Arabidopsis thaliana: one gene and its partners. The protein of the gene in region 2 interacts with the protein of the main gene of each other region in a pairwise test. Each region holds a gene or a part of one and is shown on either strand. Other genes may lie near its edges. The genes, in order: AT3G21330, HB20, AT4G35610 and WRKY8.

Region 1 (4,414 bases), 7.4 Mb from region 2:
GTAAGTGTTATTGCGAATAAATAAAAAGTTGATAGTCAATGTACCCAAGTCAAAAAAACACATCCATCAAAAGAACTTCATAAAATACTATTAAACGAAAGAGAATGTGATTAAGGAGATTTAGGGACGAAATAAGACAAAAACCAAAAGACAAAAAAGAAGAATAAAAAGATGGAGAGTGAGATAGAGAAGCATGTGGTGAGCATTTTAGGGTGTACGAGTCAGGTGAAGTTATATTCTCAAGGTGCACGCCTTCAACATTCTTAACTCTTACTAAACTCCATCCAAACTATGTTTTGTATTTGAGCCAGACAAAAAAACACTTATGTGAAAATAAAATTATAAGACAATAATAAGTTCTTCCACTAAAATCGTTTTTTTATATGGATAAGTAACACAAATTAAATAACCTTGCATTATAGATATACGAAATTTATACATATTTTACAGAGACAGACAGAGTTTATTGAGTACCAAAAAAAGAGGATGAATATTAATTTTATATTTTAGTACTCCAAAAGAGTTCTTCAAGTAAAGCTAAACTTTTTTAAGTAGAGAGAGATGGAGGCACTTTCTAAACACTTTTGTTGATAATCATCGCTTCATAATTGCAATTATCTTACGCTATCTTTACTCTAATAAAGTAATAAAAGGTTGAAAATATTGCAGAGACTGTAATTAACCTCTTGCGGCTCTGTTTTTCACAATATTTCAACCCTCGAATTCCACAGATTCTATATAAAATACAAACTTTATATAAAAAGAAATGCAAAACAAAGACTGGAAAGTGTAAACAACACTGCCCGACACCACCCTTGTCACAGAAGTTGCCTTTCTTGAGAACTGCTAAAACAATCAAGACGCCATGATTCTGTTGATGATGATGAAACTCAAAAGTTTATAATCTGTCAACACTCTGGATGATGGATTTGATTAGGATTTTGCAATGGAAGAAAAGATGGGTGGAATAATGGAAACGATGTAGGAGCAGAAGAGAAAGAGAGATTGGTTTGGTCAAGCTTGGGTCTCAAGTTTTCTAAAGCTTTTACTTGTGCTCTAAGGAACTTGAGATAATTAGCAGCTTCATCAAGCATTGATGCAGTATCCATCTTCGTCCCACCTGGAACCAATGTTTGTAAAACCCTAATCTTCTCACTTATCCTCTCCCTTCTCTGTCTCGCTGCAACCGTTTGAGGATCCGTCGATATCTTGACGTTCTTCCTCTTAGGCTTCTCCACAATCTCTAACCCGAAATTCACCGGTCTAAATGCAGCCGCTCTGTATATCATCTCCTTCATTTGTGCAATCGCCTCAGCATCGGGCTCGACATTGTCAGACAAACAAGTTGAATGTTGGAAACTAATGTTCGAAGAACCGCCTCGTTCTTTCTCTGTTCTTGGTTTCTTTGATTTCGATTGATTCTCATCGTATATAAGCTTGAAACCTCCTTTCTCCGAATCATCTTGAGGATGAACAAGACTAAAGTGACTTCCTGTCTCGTCTCCTCTGTTTCTCTTCAAAGACTTAGGTTTTGTTGTTGTTGTTGTAGTCTCAGTAGTTCCTCCATCTCCTCCTCTGTTTCTCTTCAAAGGCTTAGGCTTTATCGTTGTTGTCGTCTCAGTAGTGATCTCTCTGTTCTCAGACTCTGCAGATGAGACTCCACCAAAGCTCCAAAGAGTCTGACAATCTGAGAAAAGCACAGATATTCCTTCATCGTCCTCCGTCGAGGTGTTGTTGCTATTCGACGTCGCAGATAACAAACAATCGAGTGATGATGGATCTATCGAGCTAGCTCTGTTGCCAACATGTTGCTGCTGTTGAATCTCACCTAAGACTCCAAGATCAGACATGAAACAGCTGCTAAGATTCGGATTAATGAGTTGGTGGTGATAAGAAGAAGAAGAACAGAGTTCTCGAGCCATTAGCTCATTTCCTCCCCAAATCAAATCTGATCCTTGATGCTCCATGATTTTGCTCTCTCGTGTCATTCCATACATAGCTTGAGCGTACACAGATTCCAATCCTTCCATCGGATCAAACACAATCCTAAAAACACCCAAAACAAAGACAAATGTGAGAGGCATACTTAGAAACAGAGCATATTTGTAAACAGACATGAAACCTAAATATTTCTTGTTACATGCAGGGAAAAATGATAAAAGCTGATCTTTAAACCAACCTCGTTGTAATAACGGCAGGACATGAAAAAGTGAAACCGGAAGAAGAGAACAAACAGATGAGTTCACAGGAAACTCTGAGAAACGTTTCTTCTGTCTTAAAGAGATGACACCCAAAAAGGGAAAGAAAGAGAAAACAGAGGAAAGAAACAGAAAGAAGAAATGCTCAAAAAGGAAAGAAAGTAAAACAGTCTGTAAATGAGGTTTATTTCTGTGCTGTAGACTTAGAAAGCTCTGTTTCTGTTCTGTTCTATAATGAGCTCTCTGCTAGAGTTATAGATAGTTTCTGTAAGAAAAGACTTGAAAGCCCTATACACCCCTCCTACTATTCATACTCAGATTTGTTATTATGCACATATTTATATATAGAATAAATATTAAATATATTTGTATATTTATTATATATATATAATAGTATTATTTTTAAAAAGGTCCCAACTTTCGATGAGATCAATTGTTCCTCTGTATCAAGCACTAGTTCTGTACTTCTGTAAATTGGTATGGATGGTTAACTTTAAGAATTAGGATTAGTGTAACTTTAAGAATTAAATCCCTATTTTGATATACTTTAAAACATATATATGAGCGCCGTCAAAGGAAAAAAACTTTTAACTAGTATACCGGTAAACTAATTAACTACTCAAACGATTAATTTTTATATTTTACTTTTGAGTTAGGTAATTTTTTTACCAAATTTTATGATGATCAAATCATTAATGGATGCGATTTAGATGATTTAACTATTATTTCCAGTGACATGCATATGCAAACTCGAATATGGAACGTTATCGACACGTTAAATTGAAGACGCCGGCGGCGACAACTTTACTTTCGTAGAAGATGAAACTATTGAAGTTGATCTCGATTAATTTTGCGATATATCTGATATCTCTAAGTGAGATTTTGTTGGATAATAGATACACGACTATCAAAATTGAATTTAAAAGTTGTCACCGAAACTAAACGTTAGAGTTTACAACACTCCCGAATCTAAACTTAAAACATCTCCTAAACCGGATTATTTAATAATTTCTTAATCCAAAATTATTTAATTTTTCATGGTCAAAAATAATGTCACACGCGCAAAGAGAAAAGTGAGATCACTGATTCATTAACCTAAAGCTAACCGAATGATTTGTATTAAAATATAGAAAATAATCTAGACGATTGAATTATATATTTATTTAAATGAGGTTGGTGTGCATAATAGTTTCTGCAATCGAAGAGCATCTTTTTTTGAAACCCTAGAAAATAGATATAATACTTGATAAAAATCATAGACTATATGATTATGCACTTGATGAATACTGAAAAGGGATATGTAATTAAAAATCTACGAGTGCTTGAGCAGAGAAAAAGGACTGACAATCCTTTTAGCGTCGTGCGAACTGAAAACTTTAAGGGAGAGATCGAAAGAAAGTTTTAGGTTTTGGATCTTTTATTTTTTGGTGAATAACAGATTAATGTTGATTGTATATTTTATTTTAAAAATGATCAAGCTGTAAAAGTAATTCATGATTCTATTATCTATACCATTTTCTTATTCTTTTCTATGTGTTTGTTTAATTTACCTTTTCGCTATCATCATCAGTCAATAATGATCAATATCCTCATCTCGATCTATCTAGCAACACTTTCTTGTATAGTTTATCTTCATTTCTTTTGGCTAGAACGTGTTATATAAAAATACCAAACACTCTTTTTGTGGATTTATTTGATTATATATAATCATGATATCATATATAATCGATGTGGAACACTTTTTGGAGTAGTTTTCGAAAACTTTGTAATTTCCATATACCAGTAGAGAAGTACATTATTAGTCGCTTCTTATTTCCCAAGTCGTTCCTCCTTAGGCTTGAAATAACCAACATTCGAGAACCTAAACCAATAACGCCAATATAGTTTTATTGTATATTTGTATGAACTTATATCTTTACTATGTAAGAACAATTTGTAGTAGTATTTATAATTTGAGATACTAATTGTAAATTTTGAACATTCTTTTACAATATTGATAACTTTCTAGTTCCTATTTTTATTCAAAGTCGTCACTAATCCACACTAATCCATTAGTAGTTTAACCGTCACATAAGTCGGTGATCCGTCTATAATAGTAAAAGATCATCTTAAAGTTAACAATTTTTTTTTTTTGATGTTTGGCAATGTCAAATTAATCGGTTATAGTTACTACAAATTTGTTGGTAATTATTAACTAGTTTTTCTTCGTAAATGAT
Region 2 (4,490 bases):
TGAACCAACAAAGAATAGATATGTCTATGTAGATGAAGTGAACGTGAATACTGTATTTGGTATTACATGCAACTACGTGACGCATGGCATAGTTTTTTTTTTTTTTTATAATAAAAAGTTAATGGTTCCATTAATCCATTAAGATTTAAATTGCAACTTGCAAAGATAAAATCATAAAATATAAAATATATATTAAAATAATCTTTGCATATAATATTAGTCATGGATCATGTTATGTCAAAGACAGAGCTGGAATCCCACTCGAAGTCACATGCATATGAATCTTTCTCACTTTTATATCCTTACTTTCTTAATAAATTTGTACCAACCCATCATATATATATAAAATTGGACATATAAGTTGAGAAAAATCATGATTTTTAATCTCACTCAATTGGTTAGAGGAGAGTTTTGTTCGGGAAGTAAAAGAGAGTGGTTATGCTTTTTTGAACCATTTACATATATTGTAAACTGTGATCAATCCACATACATCTAACAATGTTACGGCCGAATGCAAAGAACTTTATGATTTTTATTAAATTAAAGCAACAACAAATTTTCGCACTATACACCAATGCTCTACAAACCCAAAGAAAACAAAATGCTCCATTAATTTAAATTGAAATGAGTAGCAATAACATAATTCCAAAGAGAAGAATTGTGTCTTGATCTTCTCCTGATGATATGATGATGATGATTATGATCATTTGTCTTGATGCGTGCTGATGACTTTTTTTTGAGCTTTAGAATCATGAATCAGTTGAACTGGTGGTGGTGGTGGTTGTGGTTTGGGTCAGACCATGCCCAGTAACCAGCCGGCGTCGTTTCATCAATGCCATTAAACATGTTACAAAGGCTTTCTTCTTGAACTATTTCATGATTCTGATGATGATCATCATCATGTGCAGATGATCGAATCGATGAAGGGAATAGGTCTTTGATCGTGTTCACATGTGTTGTAATGGTCTCTCTAGGCATCTCCAGATTGATGTCTGAACTATTCTCTGTGCTTCCGTTGTTGCTCCATGAAGCTTCTGCTTCTCTCTTTACTATGTTTCCTTCATTACATTCTTTGTTCTTTAAAGCCATTACCTTTAACCATCATCACACACAATTCAAATGTTAAGTTTTAGAAATTCAGATATTAAAAATTATCATTTCTATATATCATTAAAATAAACATAATTATATATAATTTAAATTAACAAAATATTTTTAAAATGACTAATAACTTAAAATAGATAAACTGTAAGACTATATATGTAAATTATATATTTACATATACTTAGCTTAAGTAATTTTTGAAAATCTTGTAACTATTACATTTCAATAAGTAGTAAAATCATTTAAAACACACAAAAATGATATGATATAAAAATCAGTATTCTTGTCAAATTTGGTTAGCGCACACATGCCATTACTTGATAGTCATATGGGAATGTATTAATTAAATTGTAAATATTGATCAAGAATCCTTTTTATTAATAAACAAAACACCTACTGTCTTTTGACAAACATCTTATAGTGTTGGATCATGTGCCTAACAATAATCTATTGCATTTCGTATTAAACGACTTTAATACACACAAGATACATACATATATATATATATATACACTGATATATATACACATATATATATACTACATAAATAGTACCAATCCAAGCCAATAATCAGAAAAATATTTGTAGTCCTAGATTTATTTTACGTTGGTTATTACTATTAGTGCAAAACCAAAAATAAAAAAACCAAAGAAAAAAACAAACACAATCAAATTAGAAATGAAAGTTGAATTAAACACCTTATTTACTATATAAACACACATATATACTTACTTATATAGATACATACCTCAGCAAGGAGTTTCTTGTTATAGGCAAGTAGAGAAGCATTGTCGGATTTAAGAGACTCAAACTGTTTCTTGAGTGAATCATAATCTCTCTCGAGCTGTCTAGTCTTCCACCTAGCTCTCCTGTTTTGAAACCAAATCGCGATCTGTCTTGGTTGCATCCCTAATGCTTTAGCTAGTTGTATCTTCCTCTCTGGCTCCAGCTTGTTACCAAGCTCAAAGCTCTTCTCTAATGCCTTAACTTGCTCTAATTGCAGCCTCTTCTTCTTCTCTCCCAGCATAGTATGTGCCCCATCGTCTGATAGATTCTCCTCATCCAAGGTTTGATTATGATCTTCTTGCACGTTCATTAAAGACATAGATCTGTTCATCATGTAGTTTCCTCCTCCTATATACACCAACAGAATTCATGACTCAAATCTATTTATGTGGAGAAATAGTGAGAGAAAGAGAGAGTATAGTACCATTGAAGAGATGAGGAGGACAAGAAGGGAGCTGATCTTGACTGTTGTCTTCATGAAGTTGTTGGAACATAAAACCATGTTGAGGAAACGCCATCTCTAATCTCAATCCAGCTTCTGTTGTTGGATCAAACACATACATGTATGTATTCCACCAAAAACCTATCAGTGATTAATGGATTGTGAAATCAGTATAGTGATGATCAAATATACTTTGTTGTTTGCAGATTTGGAAATCACTATCAAATGAGTTAGGTGTTTCTTGTGGATCTCATCAACCTCTCATATAAGAGAAAGAGAGAGAAAGAATGAGGAAAGGATCAAGCTAGGGAGGTTTCTAGGACCCATCCTTAATATTTTAAAAGCTTTAGGCTTATTATTATATTTCATATATATTCTCCAGTTCATGTAATAAAGTTATTTTATAGTTTCTGCCTCAAATATTTTCGATCATGTAACGTTACTAATCATATCTTCATGATGGTTTTTTTTTTCTTTTTCTTTTCACAACACCTTTTATGCTTTAAAACCTCACATATCATTTATTTATGTTTTCCAAGGAAGCCCAAAGACTTTTTACATCAATTGCTTCCTCCTCCACCGATATGGGCCGCTGCTTTTGCAGCCCGGCCCAAAGCATCTGAGAACCATAAAGCCCCATTAGCAAAGTAACGACTGTTGACCACACTAGTCGCTGCAGCTGCAGCCACTTTCCCTGTAATGGTGGCTGCGGCTACAGCAGCTGTGCCCGTGACAAGAACCGCGGATTTAGTGAAATCCGAGAAATGATACTTCTCGTCCGCTGATCTCACGAGTTCCATACTCGACTGAATGTTCTGTGTGAGGCCAAGGTAATGGCTGATCTCTGCCAATTTGGTCGCTACCAAGCTTGAAAATCTCTGAGACTCATCCAAAGCTTTGGCTTTACCAATCGCGTCTTTGCTTAAAACGTAGCCTTTAGCTAACATCGTCTGCACAACTTGTTGAGCCACGGTTATGGCCTCTCCAGGCGATGAAGCAAACGCGTCTGAACGAGTCACCTACAAAGAAACATTTTCGAGAATCTTTGGCTTATAACCTAAAGTAACCTAGTAAGTATTGTTTTTAATGTTACCGTAACACTATAGTCTTCTTCTTGTCTGAGATTGTTAGATTCATGTAAATAGACACCGTAGACCGATATCCAAACGGTTTGATCAACGATCGTAGCTCCCTGAAGATCAACATTAAAATCAATGCCAAGAAGATCATACTGGAAATTTCTAGCTAATTAAGGGACTTACGCTAAGTAACACAGCCATATCCAGAGCATACGCATCTCTGAAGGTTACATAAGCCGTTAATGCATCCCCTTGGCACCTGAAATCCATGGAGACATGAAACAAAATATAAACAGATTCAAGAATGATTAATAATTTACTGAACAATGAACGTTGTTGTTACCCGGTGATTTCAACGAGCTCGACGATACCACAGTGAGAGAAGAACCTATGAACATCTTTCTCAGTGGCTTGAGGAGACAAGTTGGTGACTTGAGCAACGTAACCACAAGGATACATTATATTGTTCTGTTTTCTCACACGAACCTAGATACCTAAATCAAAGAACAAACATAAACAAGATTCTTGAATCACATTCCGTGAACCGTTGAGCGATTTTCTAGAGATTTATACAGCAAGAAATCTACAAAGCTACGATTACTATAATGATTCAAATAAAAAAAATAAAAAAGGTGTCCAGGCCAAATAGTTAGCGGAGAGGGAAGAAAGAAGAAGTAAGAACCCTAGATTATAATTGAATGAGATAAGAGATGAAAGTAACAGTAACAAAGATAATCAATGAGATATGTATCAACCAACCACACAATCGGAAACTTCGAGAAGCAGGGCACGAAAAAAAACTGATAGTGTATGTTCTGTTTTAGATTACCCGATTAAGGCACAATAGAACAGGACGTCACAGGATTGAAGCCAAGTATCGAAAGAGACGGAGAGAAAAGAAGACAAGATTCGTGTGATTGTGAGAGAGAAAGAGGATTCTTCAAATTTAAACAAAAAAAGAAAGAAGAGGAATGTTAACATTTAAACCAAAAAAGAAAGAAGAGGAATGTTCACATAATTTTTTTTCTTTTGTCGGCTCGATCGATATCGATGTTGTGGTCGACGATACGCGTCAAACG
Region 3 (3,542 bases), on a different chromosome or scaffold from region 2:
GTAGAAAAATAAATAGTTGTTTGGTATCTTTTTTTTCCGGCGGTATGAAATGATTTTAGAGTCTTTATTGTTTCATTCTCTTTGAATTAATTCTTGAAAGGTTTTGTGTATAATACTGTTTCTTTTGTAATTCTAGATAAATATTTTCATTCTATATATATTTTTTTAAAGTCTATGTTTACAGAGTTGATATTGGTAAAAAGTTTGAGAAAGTTTCATACAAAAAGAGGATAATGATGTCGTTTTTCAAAGATTGGTGAACATTTGATGGCTCTGAGAAGAATATTTTATTGCCAATTGCTATTTTCAGATTTAATTATAGTGGGATTTGGACAAAGTATTATCTTCATTTCAATCATTTAGATCCTGACAAAGGTTTCCTTTTATGATCTTACACATTCATTTTTCCTCTGCATTATTTGCATGCACTGGAAGTTGTATGTTTTTTGTTTACTATTCATTTTGATGTTGAATATTTATATAAATTTATTTGTACTTTTTCACATTGTTGCAGATTAAAATGGTGTTAAGAAATAAAAGTTAATATTAGGTCCTTTAACAAGATCTTCCTTTTCTTCATTGTTGCAAAACATTACTAATTCAAAGAATCAACATAATGTGTTAGATAAATATATCAAATATGAAATATGAAAATAATAACTATACTATGTGTTATAGTAAATTATTAAATAGTATGAAAAAATCTTTCACTTGGGTTTGTCCTCTTCCTCTTCATCTTTTGGTGGAGATTTATTAAGATCGAACTTGGCAATACATCCAGATTCAGTCGCTTCCTCTACTTGCTCCACAGGTTCCACATTCAAATCAATACCTGAACCTCTCCCACCTTCAGATCCTGGCGCATCACCACCACCACTGCCAGAAAAATCACCGGAACTTCTTCCTCCTACCGCTACACCACCAGAACTTCCTCCTCCGACAGTGGCAATAGTAAAAGCAGATCTTAGCCCGGGAATCACAAACCTTTCAGCCCCCGCAGAGAATGTAGGAGGAGGAAGAAACCCTTGATAGTTTCTATCTCTATGAGCCCTCATATGCCCAAACACTGCCTTCCACGAACCGAAACCTCTTCCACAGATATGACAAACCGGTGGTCCTTTCGGTGGATGAGTCAATTCCTTTGCTTTCTTCTTCGGCTTTTTCGCTTCTCCTTCACCCAAACCATCCCCTTCGTCATCGGTTTGCGTAGATATCCTTGGTCTACTCTTTTTCTTCCCACCACTCCCACTTCCCTCATTCATTCCTTTCATAACCGCTTCCTCTGCCGCAGCCAAAATCAACCCCGCCGCAAGAACCGCTTGCTCATTCAAACGCGCTTTTTCTGCATCTTCCTCAACGACACTACTACTCTCTCCAAATATTCTACTGCTGATATTCAAAGCAGGGAGGCCGAGAACAATTTCTCTCATATTGGTTTCTTCATCGCTCCATTGCTCATCAGATTCCTCTTTCTCTTCCTCAGTAACATCCACTTTCGTTTTCTCTGGGTTCGGATTACTCATACTATTTTCGCACTTTAGTCTAGGGATTGATGTTTCAAAACGACATTGAATTAGCCCTTATATAAAGTTTTCTCTGAACCATGGCGGTTATGACAGTTAATTCCTCTCCCGCCTTTTCGTTTGAAGATTTGCATCCGTCGTTTGTGATTGGTCCGTCCTAAACTCTGATATTACGTAAATTTGGGCTTAATATCGTATAAAGCCCATTACTAGCCCATAAGTTATTCGTACTTGGTAGGTTGGTTCAAGAGTTTTTCTTGTTTTCTGTTTGTAATCGTTTCTCGTGCGTTTTTGGTCATCGAGATTGCAAGAGTCGTTGCAACTGCACTAATACTATTATGCATGTGACATCCGACAATGACGTGACTTGTAAACTTTTGTTTTGACATATTTTTTCTTTATTTATTATTACAATAACATTATCATTTTTTTTTTTTGGGTGGAAACATTATCATTTTTATTAGCCATTCTTTATTTATTCTATATGTTTTTACTATTTAAAATTTAAACATTGATGTATACCGGTAAACATAGTTTTCAATGTCAGAAGGAAGCTCTTGAAGCTATGTAATAAATCACAAATACAACAAATTGCAACACCAAAAAAAACTAATGTAACCATTGATGTGTGATATATGATATAGCGAAGCCGCAACTGTCTTAAATATTATTTTGAATAATATCTACACACTAGACTCTAACTAAACGTTTAACAGTTTTCTAAAAATGCAGATATAAAAAGTTATCTAAAATATTTCACATATTTGAATAAGAAATTAGAAACACAATCACCTTTTGACCATTCTAAGGAAATTCAATTACAATAACTATGACCAGAATCATCTAGCCTAATTTTTGATATTCTCTAAATTAAATATTTTTAAAAAGCTTGACCAAAAAAAAAGAAATGGCAAGAACACTTACTACAGAGTCAGCATAATTCTCGGTAACAATAATTCTTAGGAAAGAGAGCAATTCTTAGCTCTGTAGTAAAACACAGATTAATAAGCTAAGATTAAGATTAAAGAATCAATATGTTGACTTTAAGATCTTAGAGCCGCGCCTTACGGAGGCTCTGGCTAGTGGTAACGAGCCTTCTTTGTCTGAAAAAGGCAACAAAAAAAACACAAAAAAGGAATAATAAATTTGAAATGAGAAAGAGAGAGCCACCACACACACCACATGGCCAAAAAAGTTACCGTTGGGTTTAGACAGACTTAGAAACAAATCGTTTCCTTCATGATCCAACGGTCATCTTAATCACCTAGCCGTTGCTATTTCCTTCAATAATAAAAAAAAATAAAATAAAAAAAGGTAGCAACTTTAATTTTAATTGATTTGATTTAATTTCTCTCTCTCGCTTATTTCATCCCCTTCTCTGACTCCTACTGATTCATTCAATTGCATCAGACGTATACACAGAGTCACAGAGAGAAGAGAGATCCTTCTTCGTTTGATGCTCTTCTTCTTCTTCTAGATTCTTCTCCAGGAGCACTATCAAATCGAGTAAAATAAACAATGGTTAATCCAGAGGAGAACAATCGTAATCTCGTTGTCAAACCCATTACAGAGATTCTTCAAGGTAGTAGTAGTAAAACGCCTTTGAAAAATCTGAGAATTATAGGTCTGACGAACAGAGAGTCTGATGTTGTTTTGTTTCTGGGTTTTGTCAGATGATGATAAGAGAAGCAGAAAATTCGGTGTAGAGATGAAGAGACAGAACAGGAGAGCATTGGGTGTGATTAATCACAATCTCGTTGGTGCAAAAGCTTATCCTTGTGTTGTTAACAAGAGAAGAGGCTTATCTCAGTAATATACTTAACTCTCTCGAATCCTAAAGTTTGTCTCTTTGATTCTTGGTTTTGGGATTTTGATGATTATTTTCTTCAATAGGAGAAAACAAGAAAGCTGTGACAAGAAGAAGCTTGATTCATTGCATCCGTCAATTTCAAGGTTAATAAAGTTTAAAGCTTTCAAAAACGTTTCTTTTGCTGAGAAAGAGAGATCTGATGTTATTTG
Region 4 (5,186 bases), on a different chromosome or scaffold from region 2:
AAGAAAGTAATAATTCAATAATATAAAAGTTATTTTATCTTAATTTGTGTGCAAAACTCAAAACATCAATCAAACTTCATGTAACAGAGAGAATATCTAATATATACGATCACACTCGTTAGGTTGGTTCCTTAATTCTTACGCATAATCAATAAGTGGTCGGACGACGCATGAGACGTACGAAATTAAAATGAATTTCTATGTAAAAACCTAGTAATTCGTTGAAATGAGTGAGTGATTTGGTACAAATCTTATATATTGCATGTTAAGATATATGCTATGAGGTACAAAATTCATTTTAATTAAACATCCATTCATACATTTTATATTTTACGTGAGGCTGTGATCATATATTCTTCAGTTCGTTCTAATTATACCTTCTAGTCTAAATCTCCTTTCAAACACCCAAAACGTTTTATTTGCTTTAGTATTCGACTATATATTAGATATGAAGTTATGTCATTCTCCTCATTAATTGTTAATATATAAAGCAACGAATGGAAAAGAGAGAGCCATGAAGGATCTTTGCTTCCATATACAATATGCATGCATGTAACAAAATTACTCCATAACAAAAATTATTGTAATAAGTCGAAGGGACTCCATATTTATGCTTAATTACTACAGTATATCCTATAGCTAGTTAACAAAACATGTATAATATATACATGCAAAAAATAAATAACACTATCATCACTTATTATGCATCCAAGTTTTGTTCTATATTTCTTAGCAGAAAAAAAATTGTTTCTATATTATATTATATCATCAAGGCTCTTGTTTGAAGAAAACCGAAGGAAACATCTCCTTCAAGAGCTCGAACTCACTCTCCTGTTGATGAAATCCATGTTGCTGTTGATGATAACTAGGGTTCACGTTCACACTAGCGTATGGCACACGGAAGAGATCATCATTTGAGAAGCTTCTTGGAGTATTGATGATGAGATCGGAGAATATTGGAGACGATGATGGGTTATAATCAGATGCGGTGGTTCCAGAGAACATTGCTGTCCGACGATTGGTCGGGATCGGATGGTTGTGTTGACTCTCGTAGGTTGTGATGACGACCGTTGGGTCTTGGTAAGATCTCTCCACTCTCTTCTTCACGTTGCACTTCTGAGTCGTGCATCTATAGTAACTCCTGTTCATGTAATTGAAATATAGTATATTGTTTTAGCATGTGTGACTTGTAATGTCGGTTACAAAATTTAAATTTTCTTCTTTGTTATATAGTTATAAACTTATAATCTATAGGTTATAATAAAACAAGCTAAGTGATGGACTTTTCAAACAATGTTAGAGTCCATATCATGATGAATGGTAAATACAGGAAACAATTTTTCACAAAGAACTTGACCAAAAAACTGAAATATCTGTATCGATGTGTAATAAATGATATAAGAAAAACAAAACTGAAATAATTAGAAGAATAATTAAATTGAATGATATGTATATGTGAATGTGAGCAACCATCATAATAGCATTTTCAAAAAAATAAAACAAATCACATGATGGTATAAGAAAAGTTCTTGTTTTAAAATTTCTGGTAACTTGAAAATTATTGTTTGAAATATAAATGTAAATATAAATCCAGAATTAGTTAAGTTGAAACAAAAGATCAAATCATCAATAAACAAAACTAAAATACAATATTCAAGGATTCTTAGACCTTGGTTGGAGAGAGATAAGTGAAAGAAACAAAAGTTCAGTTTATTTTAGTTTTTCAAATTGATAAATAATGCTTAAGATTTGAAAAAGCCAAAAGCTAAACTCAAAACTACATTTTGCGACATTTTGCCATACTTAATCTATTTTCGTATGTAATAATCGATCAGTTAACAAATTATATATTGACCGAATAAATTACCTCGGATAAGGACTGTTTTTGACTGCTTTTTGGCCATACTTTCTCCAACGATAGCCGTCTTCGAGATGATCAACTTCGGTCTTAGTCATGAACGAGACTCGTGGCTCTTTTTTCTTCTCCTCTTTCTTCTTTGTTTTAACTCTGGTGAACCATATGTTACTGATCAATTAAATCAATACTTAACTAAGTTGGACCATCTTTAATTAATGGCACCGTACCGTACATTTGACTTTGATTCATTGAACTATATTAAACTAAGATAAGCATCAAATGATTGTTAGGACATATGACACAAGAAATACAATAATCTTAAGGTGTAGTCTGCCAAAAAATAAATGGGACACGTCTTTTTGTTTAAGTGGTTTCTTTAGGGATAAGATTTATACATCAATAATTATAGGTACGAACAAATGAAATAAATAATCTTTGAAAACAAAAATCAGGATAGAATCTCAAATATTAAATTGTATTACAGAAAAAATATGAACGAAATAACTTGAGTTGTCATTCTTTCAATTATGAAACTTAAATTCTACCTAAAAATATTAATGTAAAATTAAATATTCACAAGTACATATATACTTTTATCAAAATTTAAATCTCGACGTTGTTCTTAAAGATGTCATTTTATGGCATGCAAACTATATACTTTATGTTAGTCTAAAAAAATTGAAATCAGTATTGCTTAGTTAGTTCATGAAAATAATTTTCAAGCAATGAAAATAATTATATTTGATATGGGCCTCAAAGTGAAAAACAAGAAATGTGTTTTTTTTTCTTTCTCGTAATTAAGATCAGAGAAGTTTTTTTTTTGTTATTTGGTAAATAAAAGCAAAAGAAATTAGTCAAACTGATCATGATTCATGTGAATTCTAAATATATTTATCTTGCTTAACTAAGTAATTTAATTAGGATAACACTTATGAAACTTACACTTTCTGAGAGCGTTGATCATCTTCTCCTCCATCGCGAACTTCTCTTTTCTTCCGGATCTTGCCGGAATCTTCTCCTGGATGATGATCGGCCTCACTTGAAGAAGGAGATGCTGAAACCCTAACTTCACTCTTAATGGTTGCACAACCATCACCGACAACTTCATGACTCTTTTGACTACTATTATAATTATAAGCATTATACAAACCGTTCTCTTGATCGAGGGAAGGATTAAAAAAGTCAGAAGAAGATGGAGAAAGCTCGAAACCCAACTCGAAGGCTCCTTGAGGACTCAAGTTCTTCGAGGGTAGATCAAAACCTACTTGTGATGATGAGATCATGTTTGCATTATAAGCAGATGGACCAGAAACGTAAGGGAGATTAATCATATTTTGGTTGTTGATATTGTAATGATTATACGATGAAGTGTAGTGATAGTTGTTAAGATCTTTGATTTCATGAGACATGACGAAGAACAAAGAGAAAAAACTTAAACCAAAAAGAAAGAAAAAGAAAATGACAAAGAGAGGAGCGTGAAGAAGAAGAAAAGAAAGAAAGAAACAAGAACTTTTTTACGTTAATGAATTTTTTAGTCGGTCTAAATTTGGTGTTAAGACTTTTGGGTCTTCTCGTATTTATGCCTTTTGAAAATATATATTATTTTATGTCTTGCTAAATAAATATAGTAAATGGCGTTTTAGCATATTTTATTTTGTCTTAGATATATACAAATCTAAGGTTGAATGAAAGAGTATTGAAGTGTGAATGATTCAAAAAGAGTTTTGGGGTTTGAATGACTTTTATTGTATTTTTAAAATAATGATAACTTTTATAAAGTTGAGTTGACAAGATGCGTTTTACCTCCCAAATCGAGAGTTACAAAAGTGGCCTCGAGTGAGGAAACATATACTTGTCATTTTGTTTCTTAAACGTTTAATGTGAACATGAACATAAAAGGAAAAGCCATTTTATCATCATAAAGAAACTTCTTTTAAGTCTGACTCTGACCAAGTAAAACCTGAAAAGATGGTTATTTTTTTACCTTTTTAAAGATGTTTGGGTCTTAAAAGTAAATGTTTAGTTATTTACCATTTTTTAGATTGTGGAATAAGGTGGGAACAAGCTTTGTTGTAGAAGAAGGCGATGATGCTGACTAATAGTTAACCGGTAACCGGAAATAGTCAGTCTCCGGTCATCTTTATGTGAAGAAGGAAGAGCCAAGTCAAAAAGTCAAAGAGAATTGTGGGGTTATTAGGATGACACGTGTAATTATTGGCACCGGCATTTGACCGTAACCGACACATTACCTGGCACGTGGTGGACTACTGGATTTGTGTTCTCAAACCCTAATAAATATCAGACGTTAGTCTATCAATTTAATATTCCACCAAAGTCAAGGTGCAAATGCGACAATGTTATACATTACATTATATTCCCGTGTAATTTCGACCTTAGTTACAACCAATTTACATGAAAATCTTAATTTTTATAAAAAACAATATACAAAATGAAATTTCTTATCAGGTGCTTAAATCCTTTATTAAAGTGATTCATATTGTAATAAGCTTGGCTAATAGCAAGGACGTTAAAGAAAGATTATATGAATCATTTTGCATTATGTATAGGTTTAGATTTTATCTGTTGAAAAGAGAAATATGATCGAAATACTGACGATTTACCAACGTCATCACGATTCACGCTGCAGAATCTCTTTTCAGTTTTCACATTAGAACTTTCCCCAAACATTAAAGGAACGTTAGAGTAATAGAAATAACTAAATATATGAACTACGGTCAAATATCAATGCTTTAATATTTAATACATTTTTTTTTTGTCAACAAAACAAATTATTTTATTTTGGGATAAAAATGTGAAACATGATCGAAAATATATAGGAAATGAAAAAGAAAAAAACAGAGAGAGAGAGACATGATTCCTAACCGAAAATGACAATGAGAAGTGAACAGAAATTGACTTTACATAGGTACAGTCAAATACCTATTTTCCTTTTATAGATTTATACCTATATAATAATGTATACTTATAAACTGTTCATGTGTCTGGATTTTTTTGTTCAAATTACGAATCTCAGCTTCATGCGATCTGAAAAAAAGCATTATGCATGCAGCTGATAGGAATACTTGATTAAAAAGTTTGCTAACCCTTGTCCCTTTATCAAAAAAACAAATGATATAAAGATTTAAATTGCAATTCTAATGTTTCCGAAAAATGCGAATAATGATGAAAAACGTTTTCAAGACAAAACTACGATTCAAGATTCTCGATGGCCCAAAGAAATTAAAGCAACTCAGCCATGATGCTCAAAGGACCAAAACTTCAATAACTACTAGCTAGTTGTTTTGAATACAATGCAAATTTAATTGGG

Evidence for each region.
Region 1: the proteins of HB20 (region 2) and AT3G21330 interact in a two-hybrid assay, tested with the Arabidopsis thaliana proteins (one large-scale study listed by BioGRID).
Region 3: the proteins of HB20 (region 2) and AT4G35610 interact in a two-hybrid assay, tested with the Arabidopsis thaliana proteins (one large-scale study listed by BioGRID).
Region 4: the proteins of HB20 (region 2) and WRKY8 interact in a two-hybrid assay, tested with the Arabidopsis thaliana proteins (one large-scale study listed by BioGRID).

The regions. Positions count from the first base shown.
Region 1 is NC_003074.8:7,505,336-7,509,749, reverse strand, and holds AT3G21330 (basic helix-loop-helix (bHLH) DNA-binding superfamily protein), read right to left. Parts: upstream 2,511-4,414; 5' UTR 2,180-2,510; intron 2,047-2,179; 5' UTR 2,031-2,046; coding exon 909-2,030; 3' UTR 564-908; downstream 1-563.
Region 2 is NC_003074.8:71,562-76,051, reverse strand, and holds HB20 (homeobox protein 20), read right to left. Parts: upstream 2,746-4,490; 5' UTR 2,454-2,745; coding exon 2,315-2,453; intron 2,239-2,314; coding exon 1,853-2,238; intron 1,093-1,852; coding exon 757-1,092; 3' UTR 513-756; downstream 1-512. Other genes in the region: AT3G01210 (RNA-binding (RRM/RBD/RNP motifs) family protein), read right to left, coding at 2,893-3,351, 3,426-3,524, 3,595-3,670, 3,755-3,870. UniProt on the Arabidopsis thaliana protein: Probable transcription factor.
Region 3 is NC_003075.7:16,898,703-16,902,244, forward strand, and holds AT4G35610 (zinc finger (C2H2 type) family protein), read right to left. Parts: upstream 1,567-3,542; 5' UTR 1,524-1,566; coding exon 708-1,523; 3' UTR 554-707; downstream 1-553. Other genes in the region: CST (Protein kinase superfamily protein), read left to right, coding at 1-12; CYCB2;2 (Cyclin B2;2), read left to right, coding at 3,042-3,105, 3,197-3,332, 3,417-3,476.
Region 4 is NC_003076.8:18,800,635-18,805,820, forward strand, and holds WRKY8 (WRKY DNA-binding protein 8), read right to left. Parts: upstream 3,423-5,186; 5' UTR 3,268-3,422; coding exon 2,801-3,267; intron 2,009-2,800; coding exon 1,868-2,008; intron 1,142-1,867; coding exon 769-1,141; 3' UTR 530-768; downstream 1-529. UniProt on the Arabidopsis thaliana protein: Transcription factor. Interacts specifically with the W box (5'-TTGAC[CT]-3'), a frequently occurring stress-responsive cis-acting element. Functions as a positive regulator of salt stress response.